Linked DNA regions of Sus scrofa. The protein of the gene in region 7 interacts with the protein of the main gene of each other region in a pairwise test. Links are inferred from orthologs where the notes say so. Each region holds a gene or a part of one and is shown on either strand. Other genes may lie near its edges. The genes, in order: CD82, AQP1, SFT2D2, ATP6AP2, ORMDL1, PTPN9 and CREB3.

Region 1 (4,236 bases), on a different chromosome or scaffold from region 7:
CCAGGTGTTGCTGCTGCTGCTGGTCCAAGGACCATGCTTTGGGAACCACCTCGCTGGGCTGGTGTCCAGCTTCCTGCCCTACCCCACCCAGGCAAAATCAGCATAATCATACCTTCCCCACAATGGCGTCCTTATGAGACGCCGGTGAGATAATGGGAGCGAAAGAGCTTTGTCAGCTGCACAGGTGAATGGCTCTGGAATAACGCAGAAACCAGAGGCTGATCCCTGGGGTCTGGGAGTGTGGAGGGCCAGGAGGCAGGTGGGGGCACCGCAGCCAAAGACCTTTTGCAGCCCATCCTAATTCTAAGCCCCTTCTTCTCAAGAAGAAAACCAGCTTCTGAGAAGTGGGCCAGGTGCCCCTCCTGCCACCCCTGTCTCAAGCTATGCCTCCTCCCTTACCTCAGGCAGTCTGCTAGCACTGCCCCAACAAGTAGCTGGTCCTGGCCACTGCTCTAGGGGCCAGTCCAGGCAAGCTGGTGCAGCGTCAAGCCTTGCCTACGATTCAAGGCCAGGGGGTGGATCCTGCTTACCTGATCCATGCGAGACTCAGAAGCCATGGCTTCCCTTATCTAAGCATCAGGTTGCTCAGTAAAATAGGTGCAACATTTGGGGATAGAGTTGTGCGAATTCAGTGGCCAGTTCTTTTATTTTTCTAAGCCAGGGCTTGGCATAGAGCAGGCCCCTGGTGAGAGTTCAATCGGTGGTAGCTGTTAGTATTTGGAAAAAGTGCCTAGGTCCAAGCCACCTCCTGATAGAGGCCGGGACTTGGAACGCAAACCGCTCCCGAGCCGTTCCCCGGTTGCACCCGGATACGCCCGCCCTGGAATGCCAGCGTGAAGGCCCGGAGGCCTGCACGCCCAGAGCAAGGTTGCCAGGGCAGGGCAGGATTAGGGAGGCGCTGAAGCGGGGAAGGGGCGTTGCTGGGGCGTGGCCTCAACCTAGGGGGCGGGGGTACACCCAGAGAAGAGGGATTCGGCGGTGGGGGTGGTGGAGGGAGGGTCTAGGGAGGGACGGGAAGGATGAGGCAGGCCTAGGAGGGGCGGGACCGTTAGGTCCCGCTGCGAGCGGGGCTTCTCACCTAGCAGGGGTGGAGCGCCGAGCCGGCCAGACAGGCCTTTATCGAGGCAGAGCCGGAGGAACACAGAGGACCCGGCCCAGGAGGCAGGCCCAGGGGTCGGCCCCCTCCCCAGAGTGACCTGGGGCGGGGCAGACCGGGATCGATTTGGGGGCCGTAGTGGGGCGGGGCAAGGAGTGTAGCTCCGCCCCCGCCCCCTCCGGCGGGACACGGGGCGGGGCTGGCGGGTTAGAGCGGAGAGACCATAGCGGGCGGGGCCTGATCCGGCCGGGTGCCAGGCCACATTCCTGCAGGGTGTGGGGGCGGGGCTGGCGGTCCCCACGTCCAGAGGCCGAGGGGGCGTGTCGAAGGGGCGTGGTCACTTCAGGGGCGGGGCTGGCCGAGGCCGTTGAGTTCCCAGACGACCGCCGGGAGGGGGACGACCAAGAGACCGAACCCAGGGCTGCGCGGTCAGACGCTAACCAGGGCGCGAGCGGGAGACGCCGGGCTTGCAGCGCCGAGCAAAAAGCAGAGCCAGCAGGTGAGAAACTGAGGGGGGGGAGGCCTGTCGGCAACAGCGAGCAAAGTTAGTTTTCGCCCCAACTTCCAGAGGCCGCTCGGGCAGCTTTCTCGGAGCAAGTGACAGGTTGGGCCCCGAAGGCAGCTGGTGGGTGAGAAGGAGCTTAAGTTCCCGGGTCCTGACCCCCAGTTTTCTGGCTCCGCCGTGCACCAGCTGTGTGACCCCGGGCGCGTCCCCCCACCTAGCTCTGGACCTCTCGGGTTCCAGTAAAAGGAGGGGATTGAACCAGGTGAACCTTTCTCACTGAAACTCCGGAAGGTGAGGCTGGCAGATGAGAGCGGACACAACAGGTCTTCAGATCGCGCCGCCCAGACTAGAGTTTGTCTCCTTGCAGAGTGACACGGAGCAAAGCAAACTCACTGCAAGAGTGAAGCGAATTGCTTTAAAGGTCACACTAGTTCCTCGGATGGGACTTGAAACCCACGGGTCTGGGGAAGTGGGGGCAGAGGGGGGCGGCTGAATTCAAAGAGATATCAGCCTCCCCTCCCCCCCCAACTCTGAGAGCCCACTAAGACTTGAGGTGGGAAACTCAGCGGGTGTTTGGCCCTTCCCAGGGCTTTTCCAGGTGAGCTGGCTTGGGAGGCCCCCGGCAGAAACTAGGGGACAAATTCTTATCTGGGTGAGTGGGGAAGACAAGGGAAAACCCCACCTAACTTTGGGCCCAGAGTCAAGCCCAGAAGCCATGTCTCTTGCTACTTGCCCTGGGTCCCTTCCTTGGGCTGGTGGTTTCTGTCCCTGGTGGTGGCAGGTGCTCTGTGCCAGGGTCCTAGGAGCTGGGCAGCCTAGTTCAGTGGTCAAGGACGGGCCCTTTGGATTCCACTCCCCTTTTAAGCTTCGGTTTTCTCATCTGTAATGTGGGGGTAGTGATGATACTCAATGGTAGTAGTGAGGACTTAATAGAATAATACATGTAGGAGCTCCCATCGTGGCACAGTGGTTAACGAATGTGACTAGGAACCATAAGGTTGCAGGTTCGATCCCTGGCCTTGCTCAGTGGGTTAAGGATCCGGCTTTGCCATGAGCTGTGGTGTAGGTCGCAGACGTGGCTCAGATCCCGTGTTGCTGTGGCTCTGGTGTAGGCCAGCTGCTGCAGCTCCAGTTGGACCCCTAGCCTGGGAGCCTCCATATGCCATGGGAGCGGCCCTAGAAAAGGCAAAAAAAAAAAAAAAAAAAAATAGAATACATGTAAAGCGCTTAACAAGGCTCCGAGGCACCCACCGAGGCCTCGCTGTATGACAGCTGCTCTGATGTGGATGAGCAGGTGATAGGCTGGCTTCTTGCCTGGGAATGAGGCTGTGTTTGGAGGCCAGACGCTGGTGACAGCACCTCCTGACCTTATGAGAGCCAGACCTTGCCATTTGCCACCAGCATCACTTTGTCCATTTGCAGATTGGGGAGTGTGTACAAGTAGCTGAGTTTTCAGTAATATTTCTTACAGTTGTTAGGTGTCCAGTTAAATAAACCCCCAAAAATGTTTACTTTGCACTTACTAGACACTAAGTGGAGCTAGGGGATACAGAGGTGAACTAGCCAGTCCCAGGTTCTGCCTGCATTTTGAGTTGCTGACAGTGAGGCCCTCATCCCCACTGTGTTCTGCTGGAGAGAATAACTCACACCCAGAGCTCAAGGCCAGATGAGATTTCATGGATTCGGACTGCTCCGGTGGCCCGAATCCAGCTTTTCCATTGCGTGCTTGGCTCGGCGTGGAGATGAGGGGCAGTGTAGGTACCTGCTATCTGTTCCATCAGGGTTGGGCGTCAATGGCGGCTCGTTCCTTGCATCTCCTGGGGAGGTGAGTGCTACACTTTGGAACCTGGTGGAAAGCTCTATGGGACAGAGTCTGATCCAGAGGCTGTACTGTATGGCAGAGACAGCGCGTGTGTATATATGGGAGGGGTGGTGCTCAGGTGAAGAAAGACACTGGAGAACCCAGGGTCTGGGGTAAAGGGGCTTCCTGGAGTTGGTGAGACTTGAGCAGGACTTACTGCCCCAGCTGGGAAGTCCCAGTTGGGCTTGGATTAACGGGCCACAGACTCCCCTCTCCAAGCATTTGGGTGGCTTAAGATTAATTAGAGTTCAGTCTGGTGGGGAGGGAGGGGGGTCAGAAGGTGTTGCCTGTGTGGGGAGATGTTCATTTCAAACAGTGCTTGGTAAACATCTTCTGGAAAGTCCTCCCCCCCATCCCCCCGCCCACATGATGAATGATGGACCAGACGCTCTGACCCCATCCCAGTGGTCGGCCGTCGGGTAAGGGGCTTAGACAAGGAGACCAGTGCCTCTGATAGGAGATAAATGAAGAAAGGGCCAGAGGGATCCTCACGAAAGCTCCATGGAGGTGGTGGAGTTTGGGATGGACCTTGAGGATTGCGAAGGTTCCAGCAGCCACGGCAAAGACCATGTCTGGGGCAGAGGAAGATGCCTAGGGGAAGGCGAGGAGCTCAGCATATTCGGGGGAGTTTTAAGAAACTTCTCAGTCTGGCTGGAGAGATGGGACTGGGTGGAGATGTCAAGGGGGGATGGTAGGTTGGCTCCACTCATGGAGGACCTTGAATGCCAAGGTGAGATATTTGGATGCGTTTTCTAGAAAGTGAAGGCCACTGAA
Region 2 (4,108 bases), on a different chromosome or scaffold from region 7:
GGAGACCGGAGGAGAGGACCAGGGAGGCCCCTCCCTCCTGGGGCAGCTTTGCCCCCAGGGCCCTGCCTGGCTCCTCTTCCCCGCAGACGCACTGCAGCAGCCTGGTGGCCTGGGCCTGGGGTTCCTGACCAGCCTCCGGCCCAGGAGTCCAGGTTCCTGCTCAGTTCACTGGCTGCCGCTGGGCCTCTGGCTTTGGCGCAAGGCTGGACTATGGGGCGGGGTGGGGGGCGGGCATGGTCTTTAGAGCTGCCTCTTCCCTCCCCCTGCCCCAGGCAGTGTCCGGTCCCTCCCCTTTCCCCTCTGCTCTCTCCTCTTGCTCTTCTGGATTCTCACCTCTGGGTCCAGTCCTGTGTCCCCTCTTTCCAGTGGTCTTTCGCGCTTTGTGCTGTCTCTGTCTCTCCTTCTCAGTCCCCAGTGTCTCCCTATCACTGTTTGGGGATCTGTTCCTTTCACTTCTGCTTCGGCTGATTCCACATCCCACTGTCCTTCCTCCTCCCTCTGTCTCTCTGCCTCTCGTTGCCTCCTTTGCCTCTTCCCCTCTGGGCCCCGGTGTCTCTTCCTCTCCCTTTCGTGCTCCCACCTCTCTTCCCCCTTTCTCTCCTCCCCTTTCCCTCCGGGGCTTTCCGGTCAGGTTGCCCTTCCTCCTGTCTCCCCAGTGGTCCACCAGCTTCATAGGCTTCGAGAGGAAAGTCCTTGCCTGCCCTCATCTTCCCCAGCTGCCGCAAGATCATTCGCTCAAATCAGAGTAGGGAGCATCCTAGCCTGTCTCAGGCCTGCCCTGGACCACAGAGTGGGGGGTGGTCTGTAGATGAGCTCTCTGTACCCCCTGATGCCTCTGTGTCCCCATCAACTGAGGCCTGGCCGGTGGTCTGAGGGTTCTGGGACATTCCTATGGTGACATTTAGTGGCCAGGTATGGGAGGCGCAGACTGCCGCTGGGGACCCCTGGACCTGTGGACTCCAGACTCAGGCCTCTCTGGGGTTGGATGGGGATGGCAGACCAGCAGGGTCATGGTGCCCGCCTCTAGGAGGGCAACGTCCACCTGCTGAACCTAGCCGCTCACCCGCCCCATCCGGAGCGCCTGGCTTTGCCCTCGGGCACCCCCTGCGCTTTGCACACAGGGCAGGGACACCTGGATTTCTCTGGCCCCCTGAGTGGGGCCAACTTGGAGGAATTTCTCAAAGCCTATTAGAGAAACGCTGCCTCCTGCCTGCCTCCTCGAGCTGGGCAGGGCTGAGGGCGGAGGGAGAGAGGGAGGGAGGGGAGAGAGGAGGAAGGGAAAAAAAGTTGGCAGGCCGACAGCAGAGCTGTGTCTGCATCCATCGCTGAGAGGAGGCCCGTGCAGTGTGGGGCGGGCCAGGAGCAAGGAGAGGCCTTCCTCCCTTTGTGCTCCCCCCCCCCGGGGGGGCCCTATAAATAGGCCCAGCCCCGGCTGTGGCTCAGCTCTCAGAGAGAGGCGAGCACCAGGCAGCCGTCTCAAGCCAAGCCCCCTGCCAACATGGCCAGCGAGTTCAAGAAGAAGATCTTCTGGAGGGCGGTGGTGGCCGAGTTCCTGGCCATGACCCTCTTCATCTTCATCAGCATCGGTTCTGCCCTGGGCTTCCAGTACCCCGTGAGGAACAACCAGACTTCAGGTGCGGCCCAGGATAACGTGAAGGTGTCGCTGGCCTTTGGGCTGAGCATTGCCACGCTGGCCCAGAGCGTGGGCCACATCAGCGGCGCCCACCTCAACCCGGCCGTCACGCTGGGGCTCCTGCTCAGCTGCCAGATCAGTGTCCTCCGGGCTGTCATGTACATCATTGCCCAGTGTGTGGGGGCCATCGTCGCCACTGCCATCCTCTCAGGCATCACCTCCTCCCTGCCCGGCAACTCCCTTGGCCTGAACTCGGTGAGTGGGGTGGTCCCAGGCGCCGGGGCTCTAGAATGGTGCTGAGATGCCGCCGGTTTCATCCTCTGCCCACTGTGCAGATGGGGATACTGAGGAACAGAGAGGACGAGAGGTTGCTGGAGGTCATGCTCAGTTGACCTGGAACTCAGCTGTGCCTGGGTCCAGAGCCCTTTTTCTTCCAGGCACTGTGGGACACGGAGACCCAGAGCGTAATGGTCTTGCCAGTGTCCCCTGCGGGCCTCTATTATGGGAAATAAGCTCTGGAGGCAGCTAGTGGTTGGGCCAGCAGCTCCTCACCCTGGTTTCTTGCTCCCTTCCACCCCAAGCCCTCCCTGTGCAGCAGCTGCCTCCCCATGCGGCCTGGACCCCAGGGAAACTCTGTCTGCTGTCCCCCGCCTCCCTGCACCACAGGCCGGGCATGTGTGTGGGTCCGTGACAGTGTGAGCAGGACTCCCCTGGGGCTGCTCCAGCAGCCCCACATTCGCACAGGTCCCCAAACCAACTGCCTTGAAGGAAAAAGCTCCTCTTGCTCTTCTGGCCCCAGGTGGGGGACAAAGATGGGGGTGAAAACCCTGTCTGGACAGTGTGCAGGCGGTTTTCTTGGATTACAGCAAGGGGCAGGGGCGGGGCAGGGCCCTCTCACCCCCTCTCTGGGTCCATTCGCGGTGGCCGGGCACTGAGAGGTGTGGTGTGTGGGTGGGTGTGAGCCGTGTACGCGCATGGATGGCCACCCTCATGGGTCTCCGAGCCCATGGAACCTGGGCACTCCTGTGTGAGTCTTTTTTGGAAGCGTGTCTGTGTCTGTGAGCCCGTTATACTGCTGGGCAGGCATGTGTGGGGGCGAGTATGTGCCTGCGTGTGCCCACCGCTCTCAGACTAAATGGGGCCCGGCCTGGGGGCACTCAGGATAAGCAGATGTGGGTGACCCAGCGGCAGCTGCAGAAAAGAATTCCTCCTGGGCCGCTTAGCACAGCTAATTGGCTGTTGGCGGCAGTTGCCTGCTGTCGCAGACCTGGGCTTTTCCAGACCTTCAGCCAAGTGCAAACTCAGACCTGGCTTGGGCCACAGCAGGGGGAGATTTGGCCTGAGAGTCTGGGTAGGGCTTGGAGGAGGTCTTAGAACACCGCAGCCGAGGGGGCGTTGCCACAGGGAGGGAGCGAGGCCAGGGAGCAGAGAGAAGGGATCAGGTGGGGTGTCGGCTGGCAGGGCCTGGGCAGGGCAGGCGGGTGTGGGGACAGTAAGAGAGGGGCCAAGAGCCCTGCAGAGACCGCAGGGGGTGATCAGAGAAGCAGCTCTTGCTTCCCAGTCAAAGTTCAGCTCCTGGTGCTGCGGCTCGGGGAGGCTTGGCCAGCTCCGGTGCGGAGGGCAGCTGGCATGAGCCTGCCATGGAGGGATTAGCACTTCTTGTGCCACAGTGACACCTCACCCAACCCGGGGTTGAAGATTAGCCCTGTAGACTGGAGTTTAGACTTTAGTCGAGAAAGAGGTGGGCATGGTGGCTGTGAGGGACAGAGCTCCAGCAGGCTGCGTCCCTCCAGGTCTATCTCTCCAGCGGGGGCAGAGCCGGGCAACATCGGGGAGGGCCCGCCGGGTAGGGTTGGGATCACCTTGGGGCTTAGCTGGGCAGGATGGGCGTGGGGATAGGGTCCTCCTGGTGGGAAGCTGAGTCTCCCAGGCCTCTCGGCCCCCTCTTGACCCTCTGTCTCAAGGACCAGGCAGGCAGGTGTCTCTAAGCTGGCCATCCCAGGCAGACGTGGGAGGGCGGGCTCCTCTGTGTCATCTTGATCTGGCCACGCCCTCCTCCAGTGTCCCGTCCCCTCTCTGGCCTTCATTTTCCAGAGTTGCCCCAATACCTGAGCCAGGCGGGTGGCAGATGGGGGAGAAAAAGGGACAGCATCGTGTGGGGCCCAGCCTAGACTCAAGTCCTGGATCCTACCAGCTTGTTGGGTTTCCCCGAGGCTGAGAGCCCTGAGGCTCCAAGAGGGGACCTGGGTCTCTGGATATCTCCTGGCCACATGTGTAGTACCAGCATGCTCACTCTAGGTCTTGAGTTTATCACTCTTCCCAGGGCGGTCTGGCTAAGGGGAGCCCAAGAGGGGCCGTGCTAAGCATAAGGGCACTGAGCACTGTGGCGGGACCCAGGGCAGCCCTGTCCACACCGTGGAAGTTTGGGGTCTGGCAGGGCACAAACAGAGAAAGCATCCCCGCCAAGGGCTCCCG
Region 3 (4,178 bases), on a different chromosome or scaffold from region 7:
GTAGTTATTTAAATTCACTCAAGTCTGACACAGCACTCCTACTCTTTCAATAAAAGTTCTCCCTTGTGTGTGTGTGTGAGTGAGAGAGAGAGAGAGAGAGAGAGAGAGAGAGAGAGAGAGACAGACTGCAGGAAGATTCTCTAGTGGGTGCTCCTGGTAACCTCTCTGTGGATTTGTTTTTCTAAGCTTATTTCATCTTTTTTTTTCTTTTTTATGGTTGCACCTGCAGCCTATGGAAGTTCCTGGGCTAGGGGTTAAATCAGAGCTGCAGCTGCTAGTCTACACCACAGCCACAGCAATGCTGGATCTGAGCCCCATCTGCAACCTGCTCTGCAGCTTGTAGCAATGATGGAATCCTTAACCTACTCAGCAAGGCCCGAGATTGAACCCCATCCTCACAGAGACAATGTCAGGTCCTTAACTCGCTGAGTCACAACAGGAGCTCCTAAGCTTATTTCACCTTGAAGTTATTTTCCCAGATATTCCCCAGCAAGCAGTTTGAGATGTGAGCCCACATCCCATCTCTAGCACTTTCCTGGGAGTTACATGGATTCTCCAACGTAGAATCATTAGCGTTGGAATCCGGTTTGAGGTCAGTAAAACAAACAATCCAAGAAACACAAAACAATCTAATATGTTTTTCCTCACTCCTTGACTCAAGTTCTACCTGTTCAAGTTTTTACCCAAATCATTCTTCTTGATGCATTCCCAGCTAGAATTACAGTAGTATTTTTCTTGTTTAACTTTTACACAAAGTATGTTATAGATATGATTTACTCCAGTTGGCCTCAAATGCTTTTTTTTCCCCCAGCTGCACGGGAGGCATGCAGAAGTTCCCCGGGCCAAGTATTGAACGGTGCCACAGCAGTGCGCGGCAGTGACAAGGCTGGATACTTAACCAGCTGAGCCACCAAGGAACACAAGTGCCTTTTAAACAGTTATTTCCAGTGTAACTACAATCAGACCGCGGATTTCCCACATCGTTTGTTTACAAATCTGCATCCATACCACAGGAAGTGTGGGGCGAGAGGAGAGGGGGTCCAGGATTCACCGTTTTTGTTTCTGCAGTGTCTCGCACGTGCTAGGGCCTCCGTGTTTGTTGACTGAACCTACGAGTACCCCGGCAGGGTAGCCGGCTCGCATGCGCAGCCTGGCGCCGGACTGAAGTTTAATCATGCTGGGTGGACCTGAAACCCAACCTTCCTTCCCGACCCGCCTTCCAAGACCCAAACCAGCCGGGTAAAAGCGGGCGGGGCGAAGGCGGGCGCAGAGCTCGCCGGGCGCCTGCGCTGGCAGCCGCCAGGAGGGCAGATACCTGGGCGGGGCGCACCGTGGTGGGCCGGGCGCACCATGGTTGGCGGGGGCGGGGCACACGGAAGAGCCTGCGCCTCAATCAGCTCAACAGGTGGCTGGCGAGTGGCTGGGGCCGGGGTGGACCGGACCTGCCATGGACAAGCTGAAGAAGGTGCTGAGCGGGCAGGACGCCGAGGACCGGGGCGGTCTGTCCGAGGTGAGTGCGCCGCCCTCAGGCCGCGCCTACTTGGCCCCGTAGCTGCCGCCCCCCGCCCGGGTCTCCGTGGGCCTGGGAGGGCGCTGGGGCCTGGGTGTCCAACAGACACCGGAGCCCCGCCTCCAGCTACTTGGGCGCCTGTTGCTGACTAGTGGGAAAGGTGAGCAGGACTTCCAAGATTTCTTGGAAAACAGCTCTGCCCCTGTTCCTTCCTCCTCCCTTACAGGGCTCAGGACCCCCGCGCTTCCCCGACTCTCCATCTGTCAAGTGCTGGGGCCCAGACACTTTGAGAAGGGCGGTGGGCACCTTTTTTGTTCCGGATCCCTTCAGCCTTGTGCCGCGTCCCATTCCCCTTCGCCTCTCCTGCTCCCTCAAAGGGAGGGCCGCGCTGGAGCAAAACCTAGAAACATCTGCAAAGGGGAGGGTGACCATCCCCGACCGTCAGCCCCATCCCTACTGGCATGGGAAAGGGCTTTAGGGCTGGGCTAGCCAGGGTCTCCTGGCAGCCTGGCGGAGAGAGTCCTCATTGGGTAGAAACCTGGACTGGGGGCCCAGGTGGCCATCCATCCCTGCTCGGTACCCACTGCGCGACGGGGCTTGTGGCCACGCCCCGGTGCTGCTCCTGGCTGCCTTCCTGCCCAGTTTAGGTTGTGGGTTGTGACTTTCCCAGCCGACCTTGGGCCTCTTCTTTAAGTTAACTATCTCCGGGAGAACCATGAATTCTTGGAGGGCAGGGCCCACATCTTGCTTCTCTGTGCACACGCTGCTTGCACATAGACCCCAAGGCCGCCCAGGACCATAGTGTGGCCGCTTGCAGGCTTGTTTGTTTTTATCAGAAAGGTTTGGTGGAGCTGAAGCCTGAGTACTAAATGCCCTATGTTCTAGAGCCACGCAGAATATTTATTTTCTATTTCTAGTGCTTTCGGCTTTGGTTATTTATTTATTTTCCTTTGTAAATTATAAAGTGACATGTATCTTTACTCTGGTGTATTCCTTGGGGCCTCAGTTTCCTTATCTGTAAAATGAAGAGGTTGAACAAGATGGCTTCTTTCAACTCATAACCTAAGTTTCTCCTCCAGTTTTCATCAGTGTCTCTAGTAGTTATCTCAGCATGCTTCTTTCACCCCCTTTTGGGGTTGCTGATTTTTTTCTGAGTTTTGTGTAACTCTGATACCTCCACCCCTTCCATGAACTCTCAGAACCCTAAAACGTGCTCTCTTGACTCTTCTCCTTGAAGAGGTAACACTGTAGGCATTGAGGGTTGTAGGAATTGGAGTTTAACTTCTTTTGACATTTTAAAACAGCCTGTGGATTCTTTTAAATCTGTTGCCTTTATTAATTGGTCAAGGCTCAGGAGTAATTTCTTGAGTTCCTTGTTCTTGGTTTTTGGCTTCTGTTATGAACTCAGGAGCCAAACCTCAGATTGTGCCTAAGAAAACTTAGGTGGCCAACAGTTATGCTTATCTAAAGCTTTCTGCTGCATGAACGGTCCATAAGATTTTAGAGCAGCTGTGGTTCAAGAGGGAGCTGTTTTGGAGTTCCCGTCGTGGCGCAGTGGTTAACGAATCCAACTAGGAACCATGAGGTTGCGGGTTCGGTCCCTGCCCTTGCTCAGTGGGTTAAAGATCCGGCGTTGCCGTGAGCTGTGGTGTAGGTTGCAGATGCGGCTGGGATCCCGCGTTGCTGTGGCTCTGGCGTAGGCCAGTGGCTACAGCTCCGATTCGACCCCTAGCCTGGGAACCTCCATATGCCGCGGGAGCAGCCCAAGAAATAGCAAAAAAAAAAAAAAGAGGGAGCTGTTTTTCTGAGGATTCTGGGGTTGGGGAGGAGTTCAAAGGTGGGGATGATGCAGATACTGTGATTCAAAAAATCATCATGAAGTGGTAGATAGACTCTACGAGTGAATGATGTAGTACAGATTGAAAACATAAATGCTGAGTTTGGTTTTACGTGAAATGGTGAATGCTTTGTGTTGGACACAATGAAGGGCTTTGAAGTGTAAGCTCGGGAATGTATTAAATATATTTTAGAAAGACTAGGTGGTTCTTTCATGTTCTAAAACACTGCTGTTGGTTTCCTCTTTCTGAGTATGAGATTCCTGTGTATGTACATCATTGTGTGGCACTTCGTGAGACCCCAGCTCCCAGGAAGCATTTCATGACCAGCTGAATTCACTCTCAGGGTTGTTTTTTGGCTTAGTGTTTATTTATTAAGTCAGGGCCTCCTTGAAAATGTTGGTAATGACTTGATTGTCTCACATTTCCCATAGTTTTAAGGTTGGCAAAGCTGGAGGATTCTATTGAAATTTCTATTTTGGGTGGGAAGTTGGATTGGGGGGGGTGCTTAAAGTCTTTTCACATTCAATTTTAAAAGCTGTCAGACGTCACCAGAAGTGATTGCTTTAAAAAATTGTTGTTCTTTCTTTTTTTTTTTTTTGGCCATGCCCACAGCACGTGGAAGTTCCTGGGCCAGGAATTGAAGCTGCACCACAGCAACAACCTGAGTCACTACAGTGACAACCCTGGATCCTGCTGCACCACAAGGGAACTCCATGAAAAATTGTTCTTCTTTTAATGCAAACAATAAAAGTATGACTAGTTCTGTTTCTCCTGCATATGAAACTAGGGAATTATAAAACTTGCTTGGCAATGTCTAGTCACAGATGGCC
Region 4 (3,500 bases), on a different chromosome or scaffold from region 7:
CCAGGAGAGCGAATCCCAGACGTGGCTGCATTATCCATGGGCTTCTCTGTCAAAGAAGTATGTGTATTTTTCAAAAATATTTGGAGCTGATTCCGAATGCATTTTTGTTGATTTCTGCCCAAGAAAGCAACGGGCAAACATAGATTCAGATTACAGAAGTAAAAAAGCTAATTTGTAGTCAGGGAGATTTTGGATAAGTTTTCCAAGCTTGGTTATGAAAACAAATCATTATAAAACATTAACCATGTAATCATTTATTCATAGTAGTGACACTGTGTGTGTAAGAGAATGCATCTGTCCTATTGTTAATAGGTTGTACAGTTTTATTGGTTTTTTTCCAGTATGCATGATAGATTTGTGTCTTAGTTCAGGCTGCTATTACAAAGTATTCGAGACCGGGTGCTTTATAAACAACAGACATTTATTTCTCACAGTCCTTGGGGCTGGAATTCCAAGAGCAAAGTGCCAGCTTGGTAGGGTTCCGGTGGAGGCCCTCTCCGGGTTGCAGGCTGCCAACTTCTTGCTGTACCCTCGCAGGTGGAGAGAGCCTGAGAGAGCCCTCTGGAGTCCCCTTTATAAGGGCTCTGTTCCCATCCCTAAGGCCCCTCTCCTAATACCATCATGTTGTGGGGGTGGGGGTATAATTTCAACATAGGAGTTTTCAGGGGACACAAACATGCAGTTCATTACAGTTTGTTATGAATGATAAAATGTATATGCATCTTACCTGAGTTTAGGGAAAGGGTGTGGTCAGCAGCTGTGGGTAGCTTAGGACCTTGGTTTCCCACAATTCAGCCGTAAACTGTTGTGGTAGGGAGTTGTTCTGGCTCAGTGGTAACGAACCCGACTAGTATCCAAGAGGATGTGGGTTCGATCCCTGGTCTTGCTCAGTGGGTGAAGGATCTGGCGTTGCCTTGAGCTGTGGTATGTATAGGTTGCAGACACGGCTCGTTTCCTGCGTTGCTGTGGTGTAAGCCAGCAGCTACAGCTCTGATTCGACCCCTGGCCTGGGAACCTCCATATGCCACAGCTGCAGCCCTAAAAAGCAAAAAAAAAAAAGAAGAAAAAAACCTGTAGTAACTGGCTGCTTACATGATTATAGACCAGTCAGCATGAGAGACCTTGAAGCTCAGAGCTGGAAGAAAGGAGACGGGGTTTGTTCTGTCTTCCTATCTCCTCCCACGTTAAAGTTCGGTGCTTTTGAGGGGGTTTCTAGATATCATCAGTCACTCAAAAGAACATTCTTCCTAGGTCCTGAGTGCCCTTGAAGCCAGAAGCAATGCCTGGGAACTGCTTCTCTGCTGGGCCTTTGGGTGGAGCCCCTGAGCTCCTTGCCTGAACCTGACCAACTGTTTACATTAAGGATGAAATTTGTACCTGGTTCTTGACCAACTTAAATTTGACTACAACTGGCGGTCAGAAATAATTATTAATAAACTGCTATGAGTTACTTTCAGCAAGAATTTTGTTCTCCTCATAAAGAGCCTAATCTAAAGAGAATGTTTCTATTTTTTTTGTCTTTTTTTTTTTTTTTTTTTTAGGGCTGCACCCACAGCATATGGAGGTTCCCAGGCTAGGGGTCCAATCGGAGCTATGGCTACCGGCCTGCACCACAGCCACAGCCACACCAGATCTAAGCCACATCTGCGACCTACACCACAGCTCACGGCAACGCCGGATCCTTAACCCCCTGAGCGAGGCCAGGGATCGAACCCACAACCTCATGGTTCCTAGTCGGATTCGTTTCCGCTGCGCCATGACAGGAACTCCTGAAGAGAATGTTTTAATGTCAGTCTTGCTGTGTCACTGTGAAGGAGAAAAGCGGTGCTGTAGATAAGGGCAAAGAATGATGCGAGGGAAGAAAATGTCCATGGAGAAGGGAATGTTTTGTAATCTGGAATTTGAAAAGTATCTACATTTTGTTTACTTGTCTGCTTTTTTTTTTCCCATAGAAGGTTTGAGATGATTTATTAGACTTTATTGTTTCAAGTTTATAGAAGCTTAATAAGAAAATAAAGGTAGAAATCAGCATCCTCAATTAGGAGGTTGCAGCTCCTGCCTTAAATGAGACGTTTGCTGTCCCTGTGGGTTTTCAGTGTCATCCCAGACCCCTTAATGCTGCTTGGTAGGTGTTATTGGGGAAGTGGTTTCCTGAGTTGACAATTAAGCACAGTTTCATGCTTTTCAACCTGTAGGACCTTTCTTGGCCGGGCCTTGCAGTGGGTAACCTGTTCCACCGTCCTCGGGCTACCGTGATGGTGATGGTGAAGGGAGTGGACAAGCTCGCTCTACCCCCAGGCAGCGTCATTTCATACCCTTTGGAGAATGTGAGTATTTGTTCTAAAGGATTAAAGGGATGCATTTAAAATTGTGTCTTGTCAGCTGTCATTATGGATCATGTTCTAAAGCATACTTTTTGTCTTTTTTTTATGCACTGATAAGTAAAATACAATTTTTTTTTGATTATGTGATGGTTGTAAAGGTATTGAGACTTGGCTGTTTCCTCTGGCTGAGCATACTTTCTGAGGTAAGAGGTAGAGAAAATGCCCTACTCAGAATGGTCAGAGGCTTGAAAAAGAGAAATCAGTTGAAGGGTATACCCTGCTAACATTTTCTTAGGCATTATTTCATCACTTTGCTTTCAGAATTTTATCCTTTTTGTGCAAGAAGGAGACTGGAGGCCATTTTGCTGGCTCACTTATTTCTTCACTGGCCTTTGAGGCAGTAAGGCTGACTGAGCTGTTGTGAGAGGCCCTCCTTCCACTGTAGGTGGATAGAAAGACATCTTCACATGTACCACTAAACTTGAAAGCAGGGAGGGGGGACACACAGGTGGCAGATATGAATAGAAGATTGAAATCCACAGTGGTGAGCAGGAGCCGAAGGTGAAATTGTGTTCCCTGCAGGAAAGCAGGGGCTCTCAATGCTGTTTTGTTCTTGAAAGGAGGACTGTCAAAACCTCAGCTGTCCCTGGGCTACCTTAGAGGAGCTGGGTGGCCACCCCTGGTTGTGGGACCCAAAGAGGCCTCTAAGAGAAGTTGTAACTCTGGGCTTGTGCTGTGCAGCATCTGGTGCTCCAGATTCACACAGCCCACCCCACACAGACACTTCCACAGCCCAGGGCTCCTTTGCTAAAGAAAAGAATTGAAGAGGAACTGAGTTTACCAAACACTTGAAGGAAAAAAAATGCCACAAGAAAGTCATCAGGCGCAATAGACAGAATTCATCCCCCTAGAACTACAGATAATAATCCAGTCTCTAAAAGAAATGTGAAAATACATATATTAAAGTTGTGAAAGAGTTAAAAGGGAGGGATAGGAACTACAGGCAGTTAAAAGAGTTTTTGATATGTTGGTGCTTTCATTGATACTCACTTGAATATTTTGTAATTTATATTGATTTCTTTAACCCATGAGTTATTTAGAAATGTTGTAACATATGGGTTCTTGCAAAATTTTTGATTTTTCAGCTTCTCATTTCATTGCATTGTAAGACTGGTC
Region 5 (4,213 bases), on a different chromosome or scaffold from region 7:
CTCTAGCATGACCTCTGGAACATAACAAGCATTCTACTGTATGTGTATCAAATGGTATATTTTGAAAAGCGGAAGGCTTAGGAGTCACAGCACAGAATGTTTAAGAATGTCAGGAATCAATCTTCCATATTTGCTGAAAGAGTGTTGATGATCAGGAAAATCAGTTAAGAACAGTGAACCTAAAAAGAAGTAGAGATCAGAGTCATAGACTTTAAGTAGAATATAATGAAACAATTTATTTAAAGAACATAATAAATCTAACCCAATCGGTTTCACAGAACCGATAGGAGTTCCTGTGTTGGCTCGGCGGTTAACCAATCCCACTAGGAACCACAGGGTTGCCGGTGCGATCCCTGGCCTTGTTCAGTGGGTTAAGAATCCGGCGTTGCCCCGAGCTGTGGTGTGGGTTGCAGGCGAGGAAGGGACCCCGCGTTGCTGGGGCTGTGGCGGAGGCCGGCAGCTACAGTTCCAATGAGACCCCTAGCCTGGGAACCTCCACATGCCGTGGGAGCGACCCTAGAAAAAGACAAAAAAAAAAAAAAAAAAAGCAAGATATATACAGTCAACATTGTCTGACAACAATTTTGAGATGTTGTTGAAAGCTGTACTGACAAGGTAATAAAATTAGATTTCAAACATGATGCCAAATAATCTGATTTTTTTTCCTCCCCATTCTCGAAAAGGATCAATTCTTGGTACCCACATTTCCTCAGCATATACAACAAGGACCTGTGTTCAGCATGTAGACAGACCCAGAACACCAGTAAAAATTATGCTTAACTGAAAAGTTTGCTTTCCCCACTTGCATGATGCCACAACATACAACATTATAAAAACGTCACACTCACTCATAAGACAGGCTGTTATGGCTTTGAGGGAGTAAAGTTTCTGCCTGGCAAACAACTTTGAGACCTACTGCCAGAGGGATCTGTGGAATGGGCTGCAACAAAGGCCTAAACACGATTTAGTCAAGAAATGCCAAACCAAGCACTAAGGGGCCCACACCTGAACGGAAACCGCTTTCCACGTGTGCGCGCCCGCGGTCCCGTCTTCATCCGCTTCCCGCCCCTTGAGGGGAGGAGGGGTCACCCATGGCTGCCGCCAGCGCTCTCGCCCCGACCGGGACAAGTTGAGGGTAGGAGGCTCTCGCGCCTACGACCATATAAGATTGGATGCCCCTTAGCCACACCACACTACCTTCTTACTCGTTCAAGGTGGGCAATTAACAATCCAAGAGCGGTCCTGGCACCGTCCCAGCAGGAGCCCAGCCCCGGCCCCGCGGTTCTACGACTCAGCCCCAGCGGGCGCGCGGCGTGGCGGGCTCCAAGCGCCGTGCCTTTAGTCCCGCCCTGCCGGGCGAACGTGGGAGTGGCACCGCCCTCAACCAATCCGGTGGCAGCGCGTTCTGTTCTGAAAGCTTTCGCAAGCTGCGCCGCCCCACGCGCCGCTGCGCGGAGGCTGACCACAAGCATTCGGCCGGAGGAGACGCCGCCGCTGCCGCGGACTTCTTACGTCTCTGAGCCGGCCGCCCAAGAGTGCGGCGGGTGAGTGGGAATGAACGGCCGCCGAGGCTGTGCTGCTGCCTGTGGCACTGGGAGCTGCTGGCGCGCCTGGGTCGGCTTTAAGGAAAAAAGTGGACTCCGGCTTCGTTCGCGGCACCCTGTGTGGCTGTGCGGACCAAGTGGCTTCCAGGGTTGCCCCCCAGTCCCGGTCCGGGCCCTGACTGGATGTGCCGCTCGGAGAAGAAAGGGGCGGGGGTGGGGCGCTGTGGCAGTAGCAGCAGCCGCTTTTGCTGAACTTCCACCGGCCGGGGGCTCCAGCCGCCGGTGGAGGGCTGCTTGAGACTGGCGGGCGGGCGGGCGGGCGGGAGGCTCCTCAAAGGGGTCGCTGCGGGTCCCTGGTCTTCAGACACCTATAGGTCTTCTTTACTCTGTGAAGTCATTGTTAGTCCTGAAGTGGCGCGGCAGACTCCCAGAAAAGGTTTTCTGGGATAGGGTTGGGTCAGTTTTTGCCTTCCAGCTCAAATCTAAATTTTAAGCCTCTTTCGAGCATCTTTTTTTTAGTGCTATCCTGTTTAAAGTGGGAAAAGCATTTTGAGTGGCGACATTTTCTAAGTAGAACTCACAGCATATAAAAGTAAGCTATGATACACGATGGATATTTAGATTAGAACCAATGTTTACACATTTAAATTGAGACTTTTTTTGTTTCGTTTTAGCATAACCAACTTTCATTACCGTAAGCCTATATGTTTTTGGAGGGAGAAATGGACAATGAACTCTTCAGAAATGCTTGTTGGATGGAGTTATGAGAAATTCCTCTCCCACTGCTAATTACGTAATAGAAAAGAGTTTATGTACTTTTTTTTTTTTCTTTTTAGGGCTGCACCCGCGGCATATGGAGGTTCCCTGGCTAGGGGCCCAATCAGAGCTACAGTTGCCTGCCTACACCACAGCAAGGCAGGATCCCAGCCGTGTCTCTGACCTACACCACAGCTCAGGGCAACGCTGAATCCTTAACCCACTGAGCGAAGCCAGGGATCGAACCGGCAACCTCATGGTTCCTAGTCCAGTTTGTTTCTGCTGCACCACTACTGGAACTCTGAAAAGAGTTTATATATTTTTAAATCAGCGCTGTTCCAAGTATAATGTAGCTCTGCTTCCCCTTGTCCCCAAATCTCAGAAAGAAGGGAAGGAGGGAGGGGGGAAAGGAAGGAAGAAAAGAAAACCAAAGCTTTAGAAAAATTAACTATAATTAAAATGTGTAGAATAAAAACAATTCGTGAAAGAAAGAAAACCAGAGTTTTAGAGAAATTAACAGAGTTAAAATATGTGGAATACTTGTTTTAACCTAATTCTGTCACGAGATTGAGAAACAAACCTTACCCCTTGACCCTGTAAAATTTCCTCCTCATCCTTCTCAGTATTCATAAAGGAGTGATTTGATCTCTGGCTACTCTTTATGAATATAGTATTATATTAGATGTGAGTGTCTGGCTATTCAGACTGGTTGGGTCAGCTTTTTTTTATATTAGTGTATTCAGTTTTTTTTATATTAGTGTATTCTGCTGGTAAATTTACTTCCTTTCACTTTGCTCTCATGATATAAGAAAATATAGGTCTTATCTTCAGTTTGAGTTTTCCTACCCATTATTTCATTTAGTAAAACCAACATGCTAGGAGATGAGTTTTAGGAAAGGGATTTTAACTGTTTATTTTTTTCAACAAGAACTTTAAAAATAAATTTTGTCTTACCTTAAAGTCAAATATTTAGAGTTATTCGTCAGCATCTCCAAGTAGCATATTTTGTACATCTGTTTGTTCTAGTTCAGAACAATAAAGAGAAAAAATAATGTCAGTAACACGTATTTTGTCAGGTCAGAATTAGGAGTGTTCAGATTTACAATTATATATCAGTGTTGATTCATCTCATTGCTTTCCTGCAGAGCAAATATGAATGTTGGAGTTGCCCACAGCGAGGTAAATCCAAATACCCGGGTAATGAACAGCCGGGGTATGTGGCTGACATATGCATTGGGAGTTGGCTTGCTTCATATCGTTTTACTTAGCATTCCCTTCTTCAGTGTTCCTGTTGCTTGGACCTTAACAAATGTTATACATAATCTGGTAAGAATTTCACTTTATACTAAGCACTTAAAACCTTAAGGTTTAGTAGTTTTTTCAGGGACTGTGTGGATGGAACAGGCAGTTATTTAATGGATACAGTTTTGTAAGATGAAAAAAGTTCTGGAGGTGGATGGTTGCATAAAAATGTGGATGTTTTTAATACCATTGAACTGCACACTTAAAAATGCTTAAGATGGTACATTTTTATTTAAATATATTTATTTTTTTCTTTTTATAGCCCACTCCTGTGGCATATGGACGTTCCTAGGCTAGGGGTCGAATCAGAGCTGCAGCTGAGGCTTACACTACATCCATAGCAACACCAGATCCGAGCTGCATCTCCAACCTATGCTGCAGCTTGCTACAGCCAGATCCTTAATCCACTGAGCTAGGCCAGGAATAAAACTTGCTTCCTCACAGAGACTTCATCGGTCCTTAACTCACTGAGCCACAATGGGAAATCCTGTTATGTGTATTTAAACACAGTTTTTTAAAAAGCTTAAAGTTTTATGTTATAAAGAAGAAAGACACGACTCAGTTTTTGAAAAACGGTTTGATTGAGGTATAAGATAAAATTTGCCCATTTA
Region 6 (3,500 bases), on a different chromosome or scaffold from region 7:
AAACAGTGACTACATCCTCACCAGGATGAAATGGTGAGGATGAAAATGGATCATTCATACACTGCTGGGAAGGATGCAGAATGGTACAGTTGGGCAGTTTTTCATAAAACTAAACAGTTACTGTATGACCTAGAAATCCCACTCTTGGACATTTATCCCTGAGAAATGGAAACTTATTTTCACACAAAACCTAGACACAAATATTCATAGCAGCTCTATTTATAATAGCCAGAGACTGGAAACAACCCAGATGTTCTCTAACAGGTAAACAGTAAACAAAATATAGTACACCCATACTATGGAATATTACTCAGCAATTAAAAGGAACAAACTTTGATAATAATAACAACCTGGGGCACTCTCCAGAGAATTGCACTGTGTGAAAAAAAGGCAATCCCCAAAGGTTACATACAGTATGATCGCATGTATATAATAACATTCTTAAAATGGCAAAATTATAGTAATGGAGAACTGATTAGTGGTTGCCAATGGTTAGGGATGAGGAGGGGTGGAATGGAGGTATTTGGTTATGGAATTCTACATTTTGATGGTGGTTTTCTTTTGCTTTTTTGTTTATGTTTGTTCCTTGATTCGATTTTTAGGGCCACAGGTGCGGCATATGGAAGTTCCCAGGCTAAGGGTTAAATCAGAGCTACAGGTGCTGGCCTACATCACAGCCATAGCAACATAGGATCCTAGCTGCGTCTGTGACCTACACTACAGCTTACAGCAACGCTGGATCCTTAACCCACTGAGTGAGGATGGAACCCGCATCCTCATGGATACTAGTTGGATTCATTTTCGCTGAGCCACGACAGGAACTCCCTTGGTGGTGGTTTTTTATACACAAACTTATGCATGTGATAAAAATTGCAAAGAACTAAATACACACACACAAACTAAAACTAGGGATATCTGGAAAACGTTGGTGGACTGTTGTTGGCTGTGATATTATACAAAACTTTTGGAAGATATTACCATGGGATAAATGTGGAAAGGCTACAAATGATCTCTCTGTATTATTTCTTATAAATGTATGTGAATCTATAATTATCTCATTATAAAAAGTTAAGCTATAAAAAAAATAATTTGAAAGAATGGTGTAGGGGGGGAAAAAGTCTCTTAGTCCACGGGCATCCTGGACAACGGTGAATACTCTGACATGTACTCTAAAATCTAGAATTCCAGTGGAAACATTCTGTTCTGTGTATGTATTTCTACTGGAACTTGGTGAAAGACAGAAGCCTGAAGCTGTTGAAGATTCTGGATTCTAACTCCTGAAGTGGAATGTTTCCATTCATATACTTGAATAAAACTGTAAAAAAATAAAAAAGAAATAAAGAGGCAGATGTTCCCTTTGGCACAAGTTAAGGATCCAGCATTGCCGCAGCTGTGTAGCAGGTCACAACTGAAGCATGGGTTGGATCCCTAGCCTGGGAACTTCTACATGCTGTGGCATGACTAAGTAAATAAATAAGACAGACTGGGAAGTTCTTCCCATAGGACTGGGATGTATTCTCTGATTATAACACGATAGCTGGCTTGAGTGATGCAGAGGACAATTCAAACCCACTTTTTTTTTTCCAGCTATACCTGAAGCATGCAAAAGTTCCCAGGCCAGGATGGAATCCATGCCACAGCAGTAACTAAAGGCACATCAGTGAGAACCCTGGATCCTTACCCCACTGAGCCACCAGGGAACTCCTCCAAACCTACTTTTGTAACAGGGGGTAAGGGGAATTGTGGTAGAAGTGACACCTCAAGGACCCCTCTGCAGGAGCACCTAGAGCAGGTCAGGAATCCCCAGGATAAGTGTGCATCCTCTGCTACAGCTAGGAAAAAGCTTTAGATGCATATAGGGGTGTTGAGTTGGTAAGGAAGACACAGTTGTGTGGGAGAAGAGACTATTCTCCCCACATGATATATGCTCTGCTCTCTTTTTTCTCTATTTCCTCTCCATTATTCTTCTGCTTATTGATTTTTTTCCCTCAGTTGCTTCTTTTATTTCCTTTACCTACTTCCTATCTCATTATTTTTCCTCTTTACTCACTCCCTGCATATCTTCTTTACAGCACACTGACTAAACTGGATATGAATTTTAAGGGGAGGAGTTCCTGTTGTGGCTCAGTGGTTCATGAACCCGACTAGCAACCATGAGGAAGCAGGTTCAATCCCTGGCCTCGCTCAGTGCGTTAAGGATCTGGCGTTGCCGTGAGTTGCGGTGTAGGGCACAGACATGGCTCGGATCTTGTGTTTCTGTGGCTGTGGCAAAGGCCGGCAGCTGTAGCTCTGATTAGACCTCTATCCTGGGAACCTCCATATGCCAAGGGTGAGGCCCTAAAAAAAAAAGCCAAAAAAAAAAAAAAAAAAGAATTTTAAGGGGAAAAAGGTACCACAGAATCATTACTCCTAAAACATTAAAGCTACAAAAGAGTAAGTGGATATCAGTGAGTCTAATATCAAATACAACAGGTAAACGGAGGTACAAAGAAGGGAAATACCCTGGGTAAGTCATCGGGGGAGCTCTGGCTAAGCTGAAACTTGAGCCTAGGACCAATTGGGGAGAGATTCCTTAATTTTCAACAAACAGATCTTAAAACTTTAAAGAAAAAAAAAAAATTCTGCTGCAGCCAATGAAAACATGCTAAGATAAAGGAGAGTAGCAGTTAAAAATGATCAATGCTCTACTGCCAATAATAATTGTCAAGTAGTTATAAATCAGTTACAGAATTTAGGTAGAAGGAAAATCCCACAATACAAATTCCTAAAGACAACTCTTCTCTCTTACTGAGAGTGGATTATTTTAAATGTATCAGCACCCCTCCTTACAAAGTGATGTAATACTAAAAATGCTCTAGGGAGAAACTGCCCAAGTGAAAGGACCAGAGATCACACAAGGACAAGAATAGATAATCTACCTTTTTGATCCTAGGTCAGGAAAATATCAAAAATGTTTCCATTGGTACAGAGTTACTGCTGGTACCAAAGACTTCCAGAAATTTCAGAGCACAGGCTCTTGGCAACAAGCACAAAGAGGTGCCTCTTTCTAGATGAGAGAAACCATCATCTAAGTGAGAGGGATGCTCCTTAACATCACTTTACGGAAGAGTCTCTTTTAAGGAGGTGAGGTGTGGAAGGAATTGTGCCAATGCATGCCAGAAGCACCCTGGCAAGTGATCACTGGCCTAAATCTTCTCTACTTACATGGAACAGTGGAAAGTGCCAACAGGGTTCTCACGACGGATGTCTTCATACTCTTCATATATACCCCGCTTCTGCCTGGTACTAACATAGTCCATCAACTCCTGGATGGTCATGGCATGGGGATCTGGAACATGCACTGAGTCCCAGTCTAAGGCTGGCGGGAGGGAGAATAGGATGATCTCATCAAAGGGATCTGGGTGGCCATTCATCTGGGATAGAAACTGGAAATTCCAAGTGGCAAGGTCGATTTTGACATATCCACCCAGGTTTTCTGGAAGGCACTCCCTGGGAAGGTG
Region 7 (4,226 bases):
TAAGATGAACACCACGGGAGTGTTAAAGGCAAGCGGAGTATTCTGAAAGTGGGTATGCATGACGGGTTGGGCGTGAACTGCAGGGCCAGGGAGGAGAGTTGCAGAGGAAGGCTTAGCATCTAGGGAGTGAGGGAACGGGGAGGCAGTAGGACTGAACTCTAGAGGATTAAGCCATCCCCTTCTCCCATGGCAAGCTTCCTTGGCCGGCCTTTCCCTTAACTGACCCACCAGGCCCCTCTCCCCTAGATAGTCCCCCATTTACTATGAAGCCTAGCACATCTCCTGGGTCCCTAACACCTTCCCACCTCCTACCTTGTAAATAACATGGTCCAGGAACCCCTGCCCCTCACCTGTGGTGGCCACAGCAAGAGCCTTGGGCTTAGAGAGTACAATGCAGCTGGAATCCCAGATGCCTGCAATTCTAGCTGAAGCTCAGAACCCTACCCTGTAATCAGTTTATCATTTCTCTGCGCCAAAGAAGCCCCCACGGCGACAGAGAAACAAGAGCCCTCCCTGCAAAAAAAAAAAAAAAAAAAAAAAAGAGCACCTGCCAATCTCTTAAATTTTACCTGCCTGAGGTCACCTACCCTGACCTCAGCCTATAACCCCTAAAACTGTCCTTAGTTCCCAACATTAACCCCGATCCCAATTTGTCTCCTGATGCCCAATACTGGCTTTAACATTCAGCTCTTTCCCAGCAGACACTTGAATCCAATCCCTGATCCCTAATTTTGATCTAAATTTTACCTTTAGCACCAAATCCCAACCTTACCCCTAGAGCTTGACCCCTGAACCTAAAGATCATGTGTCACTTGATTCCTGAGTCACTCCTTCCCCGTTTTACCCCTAACACTGGCTATGCCAACGGTCTCTAATGCCTAAAACTGGATCTCGAGCGCCGTTCCTGCTGCTGACCCTTAACCCGACCCTGGACTCTAACTCTGGCTTAGGCTGACCATCCTAGAACACAAAATAATGTCCTTAATCCAAACTTTACCTACCCAAAACGGACCTGACTCACGCTCATAACTCGAAATTTAAACCCCTAAAGCTAACCTTGGCTCCTAAACCCAATACCACCTAATCCCCAACCCACCCAGGGCGCTCCTACCCACATACCCGCCATCAGCCAACCTCAAAGCCGATCCCCGCCCTGCGTCGCACTGCCACCCACTCTTCACCCTCCCCCAAACCTATCCCAGACAGGGGGCTGCTCCCAGCAAGGGAGCAGAAAAGCCTCCCGCAAAAAGGCCTCTTGAACTCCCAGCCCAAGCCGAGAGACACTGGACGCTGACCTCTCCAACAGGACCCGAAACAGGAGACGCAGTCAAGTCAGGGGCCCCGCCCGCCTCCCGGGCCCGGCCTTGCGGCCCCACCCTGAGGCCCCGCTCGCGGCAGACCGGCCTACCTGCGCTGCCCGGCTCTGCGCCCCGCCCGCCGGCCCGCTAACCCGCTCGTTCTCCCGGTGGCTCTCGGGCTCCGGCCTCGCCCTCCCTTCGACACTCTCGGCCACTTCCGTCCGGGAACGTCCCCCGCCCGCGGGCGGCGCCCTGGGCCCGCGCTCTATGGTTGCGGGGACCGCAGGAAGCTGCTCTGGCCCCAGATCTCGATGCTCAGGAGCCGGCCGAAGACCCGCAGCCCCTCCCCGGCAGGAAGCGAGGGTGCGGCGCAATCCCAAGAAGACGCCCGAGCTGGGCCCGAGGTCCCGGTTGCGCGGTAGTCCTTCCTTTTCCTAGCCCGGGGCGAAGGCGGAGGCGGAGGCGGAGGCGGCTCGCCGGAATGCCCGCCCTCGGGGAGTGAGGGGCTGGCAAGGACGTCCCCTCTATTTGCATAGTGCCCGGGACGTGGCGTGCACCAAGGCCACTTCCGCGTCCGGGGAACTCCAAGTCCCGGGATGCCTCAGGGCTCGGTGCGTCACTTGTGTGGTGTTGGAAGTGGCTAAGACTCAGGCTGGGAGGCGGGTCGGGTTTGTGAGCCACCTCCGGCATCCAGGAGGAAAACCCCGCTTGCGGAGCCCATAGGTGTGGCCCACTGACGATCGGTGGGAGTCGTGCGTGGGGTTGGGAGTTGACTCCGGGTGTACTTCTGTGTTTCTGCTCATCCTTTCCGTAGATGTCTCATATGGAGCTGGGGTTGGACTCGGGTGACGATGACTTGCTGGGCTTCCTGTTAGAGGAAAGCGGAGGTCTGGGGGCGGCGCGGGACGAAGCCTTGGAGGCGCCCCTGGATTGGGAGCTACCACTTTCCGAGGTGGGGGGGGGCTCTGAGTCCGGGAGGCCCCGGGCGGGATGGAGGGGTGTCTCTGAGGCAGGGGGTGGTGATCAGTCAAAGTCTGTTAATCTGAACCCTGGGCAGGCATTGAGCGATTGGGACGTAGAGGATTTCCTGAGCTGCCTGTCGAGTCCCCCAGCATCGTTGACCGATTTTAGCCACTCTGACCCCTATCTTGTCCACCATGATCACACCTATTCCCTGTCACAGGAGTATGTCTCCATAGATCTAGGTGAGTCTGATAGAGGTGAAGTTTGGGGGAGGGGAGGGGACTATGGACCTGGCTGTTTATACTTTCCCTCTTGCAGATAATGAGGATTATGAGAAGGAAGGGGCCCAAATGACTTCCCTGCGTGTGGAGGCGCCCGCAGAGCAGGTAACTTGACTTGGTTTACAGGACGATTATTCCCACATTGACCGGGTTGGGGCAGGAGTCCGAATTTCTCTCTGACACCCTCTTGCACCTGTGCTGCCCACCTCTTGGAACCCCAGGAGATTGGTGAGCTGATACTGACGGAGGAGGAGAAGAGGCTTTTGGAGAAGGAGGGGCTTACTCTGCCCGGGACACTTCCTCTCACTAAGGTAAGACTCCCATTCGAGGAGCAAAGACTGGATGCAGGGGTTAAGTCCCTAGTAGGCTGACTCTGTTAATTTTATATCAGTAACTTGAGAAAGGACTGAGGCGAGATGCTGAGTCCAGCTTCGCAGGTAAGGGCTGAGGAACGGGTGCTGTAAAACTTGAGAAAAAGTTAGCATAAAACAAGACACAGAGACATTTATCTTAATTGCGGGTGGGAACTGGGGGACTCAAGGTCTCAGGGACCAAGAGCAGTGCCTCAAGAAACCACACTGCTTTTATTGTGCTCTTTAGGATTACATCAAGTGAGGAGGGGGTTGTAGGTGCAGGACATAGTTCTTTTATTATTTTAAAAGTCACATAGCTGGTAGCTGGTTAAGCTTTTATTCTGACCTTTAGGCATTAACAATCACTAGCATTGAAGAAGCTGGATATTAGCTCTCTGTGCATAGCACCTAGAGAATTATCATTGTGCTTCCACAGACAGCATGCCTATCTGCTGCAACCTGGCATGCCTAGGTTTGTACCTCCTTGCTGATGCATATTCTGCTAACGACCGCTCATAAACCCCCTGGGGCCTTGAGGCGCCTCTTCCTCTTATTTTAACAGGACGTATCATGCTGTGCAAACTGCATGCCTAGACCAACGCATTATGTCCTCATTCAGCTGACCACGTGAATACTTATGCCTTTTGGTCTTTGTTCTTAAGCTTAAATTATTTACTAGCATGGTGACTGTTTTTCAAGCTGGAATATGGGGTTAAGTAAAGCAGGACAAAATGGAATTTTCAGCATAGAAAATAGAAGCAAAGAGGCTAAGAAAAGATTGTAGAAACACGTCTCCTGACAGCGAGAGATTGGCACGTTTGTTGTTTGTAGGAAGCTGTAGTTAATATGCTGGATGCCGGGGCAGATCCTGGTTTTTGTAGGGCTTGTACAAACTTTGGTGTTCTCTTTAAGTAAGAATTCAAAATCATTAGTGTAATATTGGTATAGGGATTTGCAAAGTACTGTGGGAACAGGGGGGTCCTGACACTTAGATTTCACTAGTTTTACACTAATCCACCTATGGCTGAATGGTTAAGTTTTAGAATTCATCAAGGCTGGACTAAGGAGTATAACAAAAATAAATGTAAAATCCTGAGTTTTGCTTCAAGCAATGAGTGGCAGCTTCACATGTGCGGTATTGTGATACTATGATGAAATCAATATTTACTGATAGAAAGATAAAGAGACTTTAATTTCTTAAAAGTACAGTAGTGTGATATGACTACTAAGAGTGAATAGGCCTGGAGTTCCCGTAGTGGCGCAGTGGTTAATGACTCTGACTAGGAACCATGAGGTTGCAGGTTCGATCCCTGCCCTTGCTCAGTGGGTTA

What was found.
Region 1: the proteins of CREB3 (region 7) and CD82 interact in a two-hybrid assay, tested with the Homo sapiens proteins (2 studies listed by BioGRID and IntAct). The two-hybrid records come from large-scale screens. The link is inferred for Sus scrofa from reciprocal best matches to the Homo sapiens genes CREB3 and CD82.
Region 2: the proteins of CREB3 (region 7) and AQP1 interact in binary tests that used the Homo sapiens proteins (3 or more experiments, as listed by UniProt). The two-hybrid records come from large-scale screens. The link is inferred for Sus scrofa from reciprocal best matches to the Homo sapiens genes CREB3 and AQP1.
Region 3: the proteins of CREB3 (region 7) and SFT2D2 interact in a two-hybrid assay, tested with the Homo sapiens proteins (2 studies listed by BioGRID and IntAct). The two-hybrid records come from large-scale screens. The link is inferred for Sus scrofa from reciprocal best matches to the Homo sapiens genes CREB3 and SFT2D2.
Region 4: the proteins of CREB3 (region 7) and ATP6AP2 interact in a two-hybrid assay, tested with the Homo sapiens proteins (2 studies listed by BioGRID and IntAct). The two-hybrid records come from large-scale screens. The link is inferred for Sus scrofa from reciprocal best matches to the Homo sapiens genes CREB3 and ATP6AP2.
Region 5: the proteins of CREB3 (region 7) and ORMDL1 interact in a two-hybrid assay, tested with the Homo sapiens proteins (2 studies listed by BioGRID and IntAct). The two-hybrid records come from large-scale screens. The link is inferred for Sus scrofa from reciprocal best matches to the Homo sapiens genes CREB3 and ORMDL1.
Region 6: the proteins of CREB3 (region 7) and PTPN9 interact in a two-hybrid assay, tested with the Homo sapiens proteins (2 studies listed by BioGRID and IntAct). The two-hybrid records come from large-scale screens. The link is inferred for Sus scrofa from reciprocal best matches to the Homo sapiens genes CREB3 and PTPN9.

The regions. Positions count from the first base shown.
Region 1 is NC_010444.4:17,800,373-17,804,608, reverse strand, and holds the start of CD82 (CD82 antigen), read left to right. Parts: upstream 1-1,436; 5' UTR 1,437-1,595; intron 1,596-4,236. UniProt on the Homo sapiens protein: Structural component of specialized membrane microdomains known as tetraspanin-enriched microdomains (TERMs), which act as platforms for receptor clustering and signaling.
Region 2 is NC_010460.4:42,073,942-42,078,049, reverse strand, and holds the start of AQP1 (aquaporin-1), read left to right. Parts: upstream 1-1,308; 5' UTR 1,309-1,498; coding exon 1,499-1,888; intron 1,889-4,108. UniProt on the Homo sapiens protein: Forms a water channel that facilitates the transport of water across cell membranes, playing a crucial role in water homeostasis in various tissues.
Region 3 is NC_010446.5:82,731,633-82,735,810, reverse strand, and holds the start of SFT2D2 (vesicle transport protein SFT2B), read left to right. Parts: upstream 1-1,378; 5' UTR 1,379-1,447; coding exon 1,448-1,510; intron 1,511-4,178. UniProt on the Homo sapiens protein: May be involved in fusion of retrograde transport vesicles derived from an endocytic compartment with the Golgi complex.
Region 4 is NC_010461.5:36,277,654-36,281,153, forward strand, and holds part of ATP6AP2 (renin receptor), read left to right. Parts: coding exon 1-57; intron 58-2,195; coding exon 2,196-2,327; intron 2,328-3,500. UniProt on the Homo sapiens protein: Multifunctional protein which functions as a renin, prorenin cellular receptor and is involved in the assembly of the lysosomal proton-transporting V-type ATPase (V-ATPase) and the acidification of the endo-lysosomal system.
Region 5 is NC_010457.5:94,374,532-94,378,744, reverse strand, and holds the start of ORMDL1 (ORM1-like protein 1), read left to right. Parts: upstream 1-1,413; 5' UTR 1,414-1,544; intron 1,545-3,254; exon of another isoform or gene 3,255-3,435; intron 3,436-3,445; 5' UTR 3,446-3,452; coding exon 3,453-3,626; intron 3,627-4,213. UniProt on the Homo sapiens protein: Plays an essential role in the homeostatic regulation of sphingolipid de novo biosynthesis by modulating the activity of the serine palmitoyltransferase (SPT) in response to ceramide levels.
Region 6 is NC_010449.5:58,140,676-58,144,175, reverse strand, and holds part of PTPN9 (tyrosine-protein phosphatase non-receptor type 9), read right to left. Parts: coding exon 3,205-3,500; intron 1-3,204. UniProt on the Homo sapiens protein: Protein-tyrosine phosphatase that could participate in the transfer of hydrophobic ligands or in functions of the Golgi apparatus.
Region 7 is NC_010443.5:236,449,147-236,453,372, forward strand, and holds the start of CREB3 (cyclic AMP-responsive element-binding protein 3), read left to right. Parts: upstream 1-1,426; 5' UTR 1,427-1,894; coding exon 1,895-1,909; exon of another isoform or gene 1,910-2,021; intron 2,022-2,112; coding exon 2,113-2,250; intron 2,251-2,355; coding exon 2,356-2,503; intron 2,504-2,579; coding exon 2,580-2,647; intron 2,648-2,763; coding exon 2,764-2,853; intron 2,854-4,226. UniProt on the Homo sapiens protein: Endoplasmic reticulum (ER)-bound sequence-specific transcription factor that directly binds DNA and activates transcription. Plays a role in the unfolded protein response (UPR), promoting cell survival versus ER stress-induced apoptotic cell death.